Linked DNA regions of Macaca fascicularis. The protein of the gene in region 2 interacts with the protein of the main gene of each other region in a biochemical or structural test. Links are inferred from orthologs where the notes say so. Each region holds a gene or a part of one and is shown on either strand. Other genes may lie near its edges.

Region 1 (4,966 bases), on a different chromosome or scaffold from region 2:
CAGCCCTGCCAACAAGCAGCTTCATATCTCCCAGGGCCATTCCTGAGCTTCCTGGGAAACAGGCCAGCATGCCTGAGCATCCCCCACCTGGAGAAGAAACAAAGACCCAGGACCAGCCAGCCTTGTCGCCCTCTTCTCCTGGGGGACCCTCCCGAGGAGTACAGCAAGAGGGGAACCTGAGGGTCCTGGGGGCTGCCCCTTCGGAGTCACCTAGGAAGCTCTCCTGGAAGACCAGTCTGCACACATGCACGCAGGGACACACACCCACACAGGGACAGGCTCCTTGGCTCGGGTCTTCAGCGTCAAAGTGCTCATGAGCCCTGGCGATTAAACCAAAGACCTGCACACAGTGTGATCAAGAGATCAAACAGTGGGAAGACGCGGGAGGCTGAAGGGAGATGCTCCCTGTGAATACAGAGAGGCCCTCTCCACTCCAGCCCACCTACAACTGCCCTCAGGCAGTTGGGTCAGAATCCTGCCCCTGCCACTGACCAGCTTGGTCACTCTGCACAATCGAATTAGCCTCTGTTGCCTCAGTGGCTTTATCTGTCAAATGGGCTCTTACCAGTCTTGACCCCAAAAGGAGGTGATGCAAATTACTTAGCTCAGAACCTCCCCAAAACCTGCTGGCTCCTATTAGCTGTCATTTTAAACCTGCGGGGTCTAGTTCTGGGCTTGCTTCCTCCGGGTAGCTCTCCCCGGCGTCCTGTGGCCCAAAGCACTTTTGCCTTCCTCTGAGCCATAAGCTTCCCTACTGCTCGGGGCATCTGGGCTGCCTGGGCCTTCTCTGATTCCTGACGGCTCCTGCACACAGCAGGTGCCACAGAGAACATAGCCCATGCTCAAATCCCGGCTGTGGCCCTTGTTGGCTGCACGGGGGTTTAGGTCGGAGACTTCCCTTCTCTGACCCCCCAGCTTCCTAGAAGGTGGTGTTGGCACCTACTCTGTAGGGTTGGTCTAAGGCAGATGAAGTGAGGGGGTGGCCCACAACCTGCACTTTTTGCCAGGCCAAAGCAACCGCCTGTCCAGAGATGGGGGCACCAACCAGGTCACCTCCAGAAAGCAAGAACTGTGCAGGCCAAGCTGGGTCGGTGGTGGCTTGCCTTAGAACCGAGAAGATAAGCGGAAGCCCAGATGTGAGAACATCTGGCAGCCCAGAGGGAAGCACCGGGTGGAAGCTAGGTAGGGAAACAGGGGTGTGGGGGAAGGCAGAAAAACTGTCTGGTGGTTTCCAGAGGACAGGGACCAAGTGCGCAGCGTCAGCTCTGGCAGGCCACATAGCCACCAGGAAACCAGCCCCAGGATAGGGGGTGCTGGCAGGAGGGACAGGGACTTCCCCGCCCCCTCCCTTGGGCCCTTGGTAAATGGTCATTGTGTTCAGTTTCCGGCAGTGGCCTCCTCTCCTGCCAGGATCCTGGTTTTCCTGACCCAGCCAGAAGTTTCCCCTTTGATTTTTAAATAGCAGCCACAGGCTGGATCTCAGAGCTGAGGCTGGGCCAGGAGGGCCAGGGCCAGAGAGGGAAGGCAAGATCCCAGGCAGGGGTGGGGCTCAGCTCTGCCTCTCCCTTGGTTCCTCAGGGACGGAGAGAGCGAACCTGCACGGCCCCTGTGAGCGCTCCGCCAGACCCTCCCAGCACACAAAGGCCGAGCTGCTGCCAGAGGTAATGAAAGCCAGATGAGCGCTGGGCTGCTGTCAGCCTCCCACTCCCACCCCCACCCTCCCAGGGGTCCCTCTCCAGCCGCCAATGAGGACCAGAGCCCTGGGTAGATGAGGGTTGAGGGAACACGTCTGGTCCGGCCATCTGCCAAGCTCAGGAGGAAAGGGTCTCTCAGGCGTGGGGTGTTCCCCCACCAAGAGCTCTTCCCAACACTGGGCGGAGAAACAAGTCTCATCCAGGCCCTGTCTAGGTACCAGGACACCAAGAGGCACGAGACTCAGGCTAACAATCGCCAGCAATCACAACACGCCACAGTCTAAAGCCATGAAGGGACTGGAGATGCACCAAGGCGACACGATGCAGCACGGGGACTCAGGAGGTTCACTGTGAAGGCTGCAGCCCGGCCAGAGCTCTGATGGGCCCTGAGCCCCTGATCCAGGGATGGCCTCTGTGCAGGCCCTGTACCCAGGCAGAGCAGGGCGAGGGGGGCGTCTCTGAATTAAACCAAAGACCTGCACACAGTGCGATCAAGAGATCAAACAGTGGGAAGACGGAGGCTGAAGGGAGATGCTCCCTGTGAATACAGAGAGGCCCTCTCCACTCCAGCTGTGCAGTCAGGTGGGAGGCAGATGGCACCACCCAGAGACCCAGGGCACACGAGAAACAAGCCCCAGCCCTCACCTGGTCACCCTCCCATTCATCCATCACACGTACACCACTTCCTTCTCTGAATCCTACCCAGTCCTTACAGATTCAGGGTGCTGGCACTCTTTCCAGTTAAGCAGAAACAAGTCTCGCCCGCTCTGGGCCTGGGCTACCCTCCTCCGCTCACCACCAGGACATCTGGTCCCACGTGTTGGAGGCCTGCTGCTCCGCCTCATTCCGCGACCCTCCCCCCAAACCCGCCCCGCTGTCCCTGGTCACCAGATCCACATCTGCCCCAAGTAGGGTCTGTCTGGAAGGCCCCTATGGTCTCATCACCTCTGAGGATTCTAGGATTCGGCCCTCCCGACCACTTGTTCCACACCTGCATTGGAAAGGCTAACGACGTGGTGCAGGCCCTGGGTGGGCAACTGGGTGAAATAAGGCACAGGCCACCGATGTAAACAGTGACAATGCCGCAGGAAAAGGTCCACCTGGGTTGCGGGGACTCGGTGACAGCAGGACCTGGGACGGTATTGAGGGGGGCAAAATCCCAGCCGTGGTCCCTACTGTTGGACGGGGCGGGGCGGCAGCCCCCTGGCCCACCCTGCTGGCTGATTTCTGCAGAAGGCCCCGACCCCCACCTACGGAGGAGGGAGGAGAGAGGCGGCCCGCTAGGATAGCCCGGCCCCGTCCAGGGCTCGCCCCGGCCTGCCCAGCTCTGCCGTGGGTGGGGAGACTCCGACGCATCCCCCACCCGACCGCCCCAGCTCACCCACCTCCGGGCGCGGCAGGTCGGGGTCGAGCTGCGTGAAGCTGTGCAGCACCACCGGGCAGCTGTCGGGGACGCCCACCTCCAGGCGCACGGCGTCCCACACGCTGCGGCTCCGCCGGGAGCCCGGAAACAGCGGCTCGGCGCCGCCAACAGGCCCGGCCGCCTCGGCCCACATGCGCTGCACCATGGAAGGCTCGTGGCAGGGGCCGGGCCGCGGGACCCGGGGCAGCGCGGGCGCGGGGCCGGCCCGGCGCGCGGCGGGGGCGGCGGCGCAGCCCGCGCGACTGGGCTTTGCCTCCGCTGTGAGCCCGCGGCCCGGCCCCTGCTGATGTCAGGCTGGGGGCGGAGCCGGAGGGGTGAGGAGGGCGGGGCCAGGGAGGGGCGGGACCGGAGAGGCCCAGGGACGCGTGCGTGCGTGCGCGCGCCCGCGGCCCCGCCCTCGCCGAGGTCAGACCCGGGAGCCTGGAGGGGCGGAGTCTGAACAAAGAGGGCGGGGCCGGGGAGGTCGAGGGGCGCGCGTTGGCTGGGTCTCCCTAAAGGGCCTGTTGTCACGTGTGTCGTCGGGCCTTGGGTACCCCGCTTAGGCACCGTCTGCGTGTTACGCTGCTGCAGTGCGTGGGTTGTGTAGGTCTGAAATCTGTACGTGCTTATGATGTGTGGGGAAGCTGCCCTGGTGTCGCCAACCCCGAATTCCAGCAAAGCCTCTCCCCAGCTCTGTGGCCTTCCACAAGTTGCTTAACCCCTCTGAACCTCACTGTTTCTTCATCTGCAAAATCTGGGTAGTGAAAATGACTTCCTCAAACAACTGCGGGGAGGATGACATTACGTGAGGGACATAAAGCACTCAGCACCTGCACCTGACTACAGGCTCATGCGGAGTTTGGAGAGGCTGACTATGTGTTCAGTGACCATGTCAGTGCAATTGGAAATCCTGAGTGTGGGGCTGTGTGTGCAGTGGGGGAAAGAGTGGGGCCCTACCATTTTGGGGGTAAAGCCCCATACTATCCCCTTTCAGCCTTACAGACACCCTCAGAGGAGGGGAAGTCAGGGAGGTGGGGGAGAGCGGGAGGCGCCAAGGTTGGGGCTGAGAGGCAACTGAAGAGGAAGGCATCAAGAGTGACAATGCTGGGCAGATCACATGGCTGCGGGGCCTGTTAGCTGGGGCTGCTTGTCGCTTGGACATCCCTGGTCTCAGGGTGGAGTGGGGCTGCTGGGGCTGAAGGGGAAGCAGGGACAGGGAGATCCTCAACTACTCTTTCTGGAAGCCAGTGAGGAAGGAAGACAACCTGGGGCTTAACAGCAGGGCCAGGAGAGTGGATGAACTGCGCCTGCCCCGGCCTCAGCCCTCAGTCCTCAGGGAGGCCAGCAATCGCTGCCAGCAGCCCTGGCCATGCCAACCTCCCCACTGGTCCGTACCATTGGGCCTCAGTTTCTCCATCTGTAAACTGAGAGGGCGGGACCAGACAGCACATTCCACGAGCACATCTTGCCCCCTTCCCAAGTGCCAATCCTCAGACACCCACGGAAAACGCTTCCACTGTGACTGGAGTGAGGTGGCAGGTCATCCTTTCAGAACCAGACCCCCATGTGCACACGACTAGAAGGGCCTACTTCACAAAAATTATGGTGGTAAGTTGCAGCTGGGTAGAGAAGCTATACTGGCTTTCATTTTACTTCCCTGAATTTCTAATTTCTAAAATCAGTATTTTAATAACCAGCTGTATGTGATAAATGCTGTTTTTGATTGTTTTTTAGACAGAGTCTCGCTCTGTCACTCAGGCTGGAGTGCAGTGGTGTGATCTCGGCTCACTGCAGTCTCCGCCTCTTGGGTTCATGTGATTCTCCTGCCTCAGCCTCTCGAGGAGCTGGGATTACAGGCACCCGCCACCAT
Region 2 (4,850 bases):
GACCCTGGAATCACGAGCTCCAGGGGTGCAGTGAGAAATGTGCTTGGAGCATCCAGCATCCTCCTCCCTGACCACCTTCCTCTGTTCCGTCTGGACCTGGACTGACTCCTTGAGAGCACTCCTCACCCAGCCTCTCCCCACCCAGCCTTCCCAGATTTATCTTCCTGATGAGACAAATTCTCTTTGGAGCCCTGTGTGTCTTACTATGTGTTCGGTTGAGGGCCTGCCTCGCCCCAGCGCTGTGGGCTGCACGTGGCCTGCACGTGGCCTGGGTGCTCCTCTGCTATCCACAGCCGCAGGAGACGACGCTCAAATATTTGTGGAAGGAATCCGTGAACAGGCAGATGCACATGTAGCCACTTAGAACTTTCTGGCCGTGGCTTTCATCTGTTGACCACATATGGACATTGAAGATGTATCCTCTCCATCCTGTCTACAGCTGCCCCTGCGCCAGGCGAGTTGGCCGGCCGTTGACAGAGGTGGTGGGCGGGAGTGTTGGAGCAGGGCCGCGGCTCAGGCTCCGGGTGCCTCAGTGGCCTGGTCTGGAAGGTGACCATGCACCAAGAATCAAAGAAGATAAGCTCAAAATAGAGTCTCATGGAGTTTCCAGCCAGAATCTCCCCCACTGCCTGCCTTTCTCCAGATGGTGGAAGGCCCCAGGCCTCACAGCAGGACCCCACCACTGCGTTCCCCCAAAGACTCTGGCCACCTCCATCCCAGGCCTGCCAGTCTTGAGCCTCATGGAGTACGTGAGCTGGCCGGGTCATGCGCAGCCCCAGGACATCTATGGGTGGCACTAAGGGCTGAGTCAGCCACCCTTGTCTCCTCTGTGCCCAAGAGCCCGAGTATCAGGCTGGTCTGAGCCCCAAGGCCTAGGGGTGCAAGGACCAGGGGTTGGAGGCTGTGGAGTCCCAAGCCCCCACTGGACTCCCACCTCAGACACTGCTCCTGGTGTTCTCGCCCAGGCCTGAACCCATCCGCACACTTCGCAGTCCTGCTCCTACCCTGTGTCCCCTCTGCGAGCCCCCATGCTCCCCAAATTGGAAACTGGAGGAATTCTGTCTCCACACCCCAGCTAGTGCCATTCCCTGGTGGGTAGCTCATCACCTCTGGTCCCCTGCAGCCCTTGCCCCTTCACCATGGACGCTGGGAGGGCAGAGCCCGCTCCCCTGCTGAGCCCCACCCTGGAACTCCAAGCACCCTGGGTCCTTGCCTCTGCATCTCCCTCAGGGGCAAGGCTTGGGGCCCCTCCTGCCTCCTGACAGGGAGCCCCTTCAGTGCAGGGCCAGGGGGTGGTGGAGGCAAGGGTCCCCAGGGGACCAGATCTGACGTGCGGGGCCTCCACTGGGTCCCCGTTGGCTGTGCTGCTTAGTCCCCGCGCCCTCGCCTCGGCGCAGGCTCCCTCCTGCCACCAGGCATACGGCGAGGCCTGTGGCTCCCACCCCAAGGGTGCGCTCGGCTCTCACCTGAGGGCTCAGCCCAGGTGTCCGGCCCTGGCAGCTCGGCCCTGGGCGCCCTCCGCCGCCAGGCGCTGTCTCCTACTCCAGGCTGTTCTTCCGGCTGCGGGGTTGCGGCCTGGGTCCCATGGCAACGTGGGCGGGTCCTCATTTGAATACGCAAATATTTATAAGCCGCAGGAGGCTCGGGTTCTGAGGGGCTGAGCCACGCCCCTTAGCAACGGTCGCTAGGGCGGGGCCACGTGAGTTGGCACTTGGGTGGGCGATCCCGGGGGAGGTGACGCGCCACCAAGTCGGGTGGGCGCAGGCGCGTCAGGTGCCAGCTCCCTGCGGCTCCGTGCCCGGGCCGTCGCGGTGCACGTGTCGCGTTTCCTCGCGATCCCGGCGCTTCCCACGCGGGGCCGGCAAGGGCGGTCTCTGCTGGAGGCTCCCGCCCACCTTTCCCACGTGGAAGGGTCGCCCCTGGGGTCGAGGCCTGACGCCCTGACCTTCGATTGGAAGTGAGGCCGACAGCAAAAGGAAGCACCGGGGCAAGCGCCCCGGAGGACCAGGAAACACAGACCGGATGCCGAAGCGCGCCCGAGTGCCCGGCCCGTGGGACACGCCGCCGCCCGCCGTTCAGTCGCCGCCTCTCACCTGCGTTCATGCGCGTCCGCCCCGAGCCGGGCTCTGACTGCGACCGCGCGGTGGATGGACGGCAGGCGGGACCCCCGGGACCGCACGTGGGTGGAGCCCCGGGTCAGCGGCGACCGGCGCAGGAGGGCGTGGCGGCGGGGCGGGCACTGGGTTGGGCAGAGGCAGGGTTTGCCTGACCGTAAAACGCCTTTTTTTCTTTTAAACGCCTTTTTTTTGAGACGAAGTTGCGCTCTGTCACCCAGGCCGGAGTGCAGTGGCGCGATCTCGGCTCACCGCAACATTCGCCACCCGGGTTCCAGCGATTCTCCTGCCTCAGCCTCCTGAGTAGTTGGGCCTACAGGCTCGCGCCACTGCAGCCGACTAATTTTTTGCATTTTTAGTAGAGACGGGATTTCATCATGTTGGCCAGGCCGGTCTTGAACTCCTGACCTCAAGTAATCCACCGGCCTAGGCCTCCCAAAGTGCTGGGATTATAGGCGTGAGCCACCGCGGCCGGCCCCTTTTGCTTTTTTTTTTTTTTTTTTTTTTTTTTTTTTAGACGGAGTCTCGCTCTGCCACCCAGGCTGGAGTGCAGTGGCCGGATCTCAGCTCACTGCAAGCTCCGCCTCCCGGGTTCACGCCATTCTCCTGCCTCAGCCTCCCAAGTAGCTGGGACTACAGGCGCCCGCCACCTCGCCCGGCTAGTTTTTTGTATTTTTTAGTAGAGACGGGGTTTCACCGTGTCAGCCAGGATGGCCCTTTTGCTTTTTAATGAGAATGTATTTCTGATTCCTTTGCAATTTAAAAAAATGTTAAAAAAAAAAAAAAAAACACGTCTTTTGGGGTTTGAAAGAGCTAGGATGTGGTCTTTGTGCTTGGGGTGAGCCCTGGGCACTTCGCTCTCCTGTGGCAACCTGTAGGTACCGTTTAACTGCACCACGCTGAGCTTCTGCATGGTTGGAACCTCAAGTCTGGGGGGACTGAGCGGGCAGGGTCGCCTGCCACGCAGGCCCAAGTAAGAGAAGTGGTGGAGGGGGCGTTCTCACGCCTGGCCCCAGGGAGCACGGCTGCGCCCGCCGCTCGAAACCCCACCGGAGCTGCAAGGCGTCCTCGGGGTGGGCTGAGGTGGGAGTAGGGGAGCTGGGGTGCGTGTGGTAGGTGGGGTGCGCGGAGGAGGCGGGGTGCGCACCGTCCGGGTGCGGGGCCACTCCACCTGCGCGGAAGGGGAGCCGGGCAACCGGACCCCGCGGCCACCCGGGGGCCCCCAGCTCCGAGCGGCCCGCCTTGGTCCCGACGGATCCCAGCCTTTCCTCAGCCGGAGCCCCGGGACCTCCGCGGTGGGCGACGCCGCGCTGCGGACGCAGGGAGGGCCTCGAGTGCACGGGCGCCGCTGAGTCGGGTTCTCTCGCCGGCCTGTTCCCGGGAGAGTCCACGGCCCTGCTCGGATATGCCGCCGCAGGCCCCCAGACACCTGCTCCCTCGCCCTCCTTGAGCAACCCCGAGCTTGCCTCCGCTCGCCGGCCTAGCCCAACCCCCCGAGGCCGCGGCCCTTCTGGCTCCGCCTCCCGCGTTGCTCCCGGAAGCCCTGCCCGACCGCGGCTCCTGACAGACGGGCCGCTCAGCCAACCGGGGCGGGGCGGGGCCTGGTGTAGCGAGGCCAATGGTAGGTCGCGCAGGGCTGACGGACGGGCGCGGGGTGGGGCGTGCGCGAGCCCGGCCGAGTCTCCGCCGCCCGCTCCCTGCGCCTGCAGCCCCAGCCGCACCCGCCGCGGACGGAGCCCATGCGCGGGGAGAACCGCGCGCCCCCGCCCCCGCCCCCCCCTGGCCTCGGCCCCGGCCCCGGGGGCAGTCGCGCCACTGAGCGGTGAGTGCGGGCCGGGGTCGGCCGGGCCGCGCGCCCTCCCCGCCCCCAGGCGGCAGCCATACGCGCGGCGCGGGCCGGGGGCGCGGGACCGGCGGGCGTGAGCGGCTGCGGCGGCGGTAGTGGGTGGGTGGGGCCGGGCCGGGCCGGGCGGGGCCCCCAGGCACAGGTGAGCGGGCGTCGGGGGCTGCGGCTGGCGGGGGCGGGCTGAGGCCCCTTAGTCCCTGGGGCCTGCGGGAATCCGGGCCCCGCCCGTGGCCTCGCTCTGGGCACGGTCCTCACGCCGGCGTCCCCGGGAGCCTCGGGCCCGGCGCCCTCATAACCAGGCGCGTCTGGGCGGAGGCGGCCGCGGCCACGGCACGCCCGGGCACCCCCGATTCAGCATCACAGGTCGCGGACGAGGCCGGGGGCCTCAGCCCCAGGGCCCTTCCCCTCTCCGGGTCTCCCGCGCCGCCTCTCGGCCCCTTCCTGTGGCTCAGCCCCTGCTTCCCAGGAGCCCCTCTGTCTTTTCCAGCTTTCTGTGGCTGAAAGATGCCCCCGGTTCCCCGCCGGGGGCGCGGGGCGCTGCCCGGGTCTGCCCTCCCCTCAGCGGCGCCTAGCACGCAGTAGGCGCTCAGCAAATACTTGTCGGAGGCACCAGCGCCACGGGGCCTGCAGGCTGGCACTGGCCTGCCCGGGCACGCCGTGGCGCGCTCCGCCGTGGCCAGACCTGTTTAGGAGGACGGTAACCTCAGCCCTCGGGCGCCTCCCTTTAGTCTTTCTGCCGACCCAGCAGCTTCTAATTTGGTTGAGAGCGCTCAGCTGTCAGCCCTGCCTTTGGAGGCTGGCTCCCTTTTCCCCTCACTGGGTCCTTAACAGCAAGTGGGGGCGAGGCGACAGCCCTCCCCCGCGCTGGTTTGCAGCTGCACAGGTAGGCA

The links. The genes of interacting proteins can lie anywhere in the genome.
Region 1: the proteins of HRAS (region 2) and RALGDS form a complex in vitro, tested with the Homo sapiens proteins (4 studies listed by BioGRID and IntAct, with this or other methods). The link is inferred for Macaca fascicularis from reciprocal best matches to the Homo sapiens genes HRAS and RALGDS.

Annotation. Positions count from the first base shown.
Region 1 is NC_088389.1:10,646,803-10,651,768, reverse strand, and holds the start of RALGDS (ral guanine nucleotide dissociation stimulator), read right to left. Parts: upstream 3,378-4,966; 5' UTR 3,263-3,377; coding exon 3,080-3,262; intron 2,176-3,079; exon of another isoform or gene 1-2,175. UniProt on the Homo sapiens protein: Functions as a guanine nucleotide exchange factor (GEF) activating either RalA or RalB GTPases and plays an important role in intracellular transport. Interacts and acts as an effector molecule for R-Ras, H-Ras, K-Ras, and Rap.
Region 2 is NC_088388.1:433,212-438,061, reverse strand, and holds the start of HRAS (GTPase HRas), read left to right. Parts: upstream 1-1,762; 5' UTR 1,763-2,179; exon of another isoform or gene 2,180-2,195; intron 2,196-3,791; exon of another isoform or gene 3,792-3,936; intron 3,937-4,850. UniProt on the Homo sapiens protein: Involved in the activation of Ras protein signal transduction. Ras proteins bind GDP/GTP and possess intrinsic GTPase activity.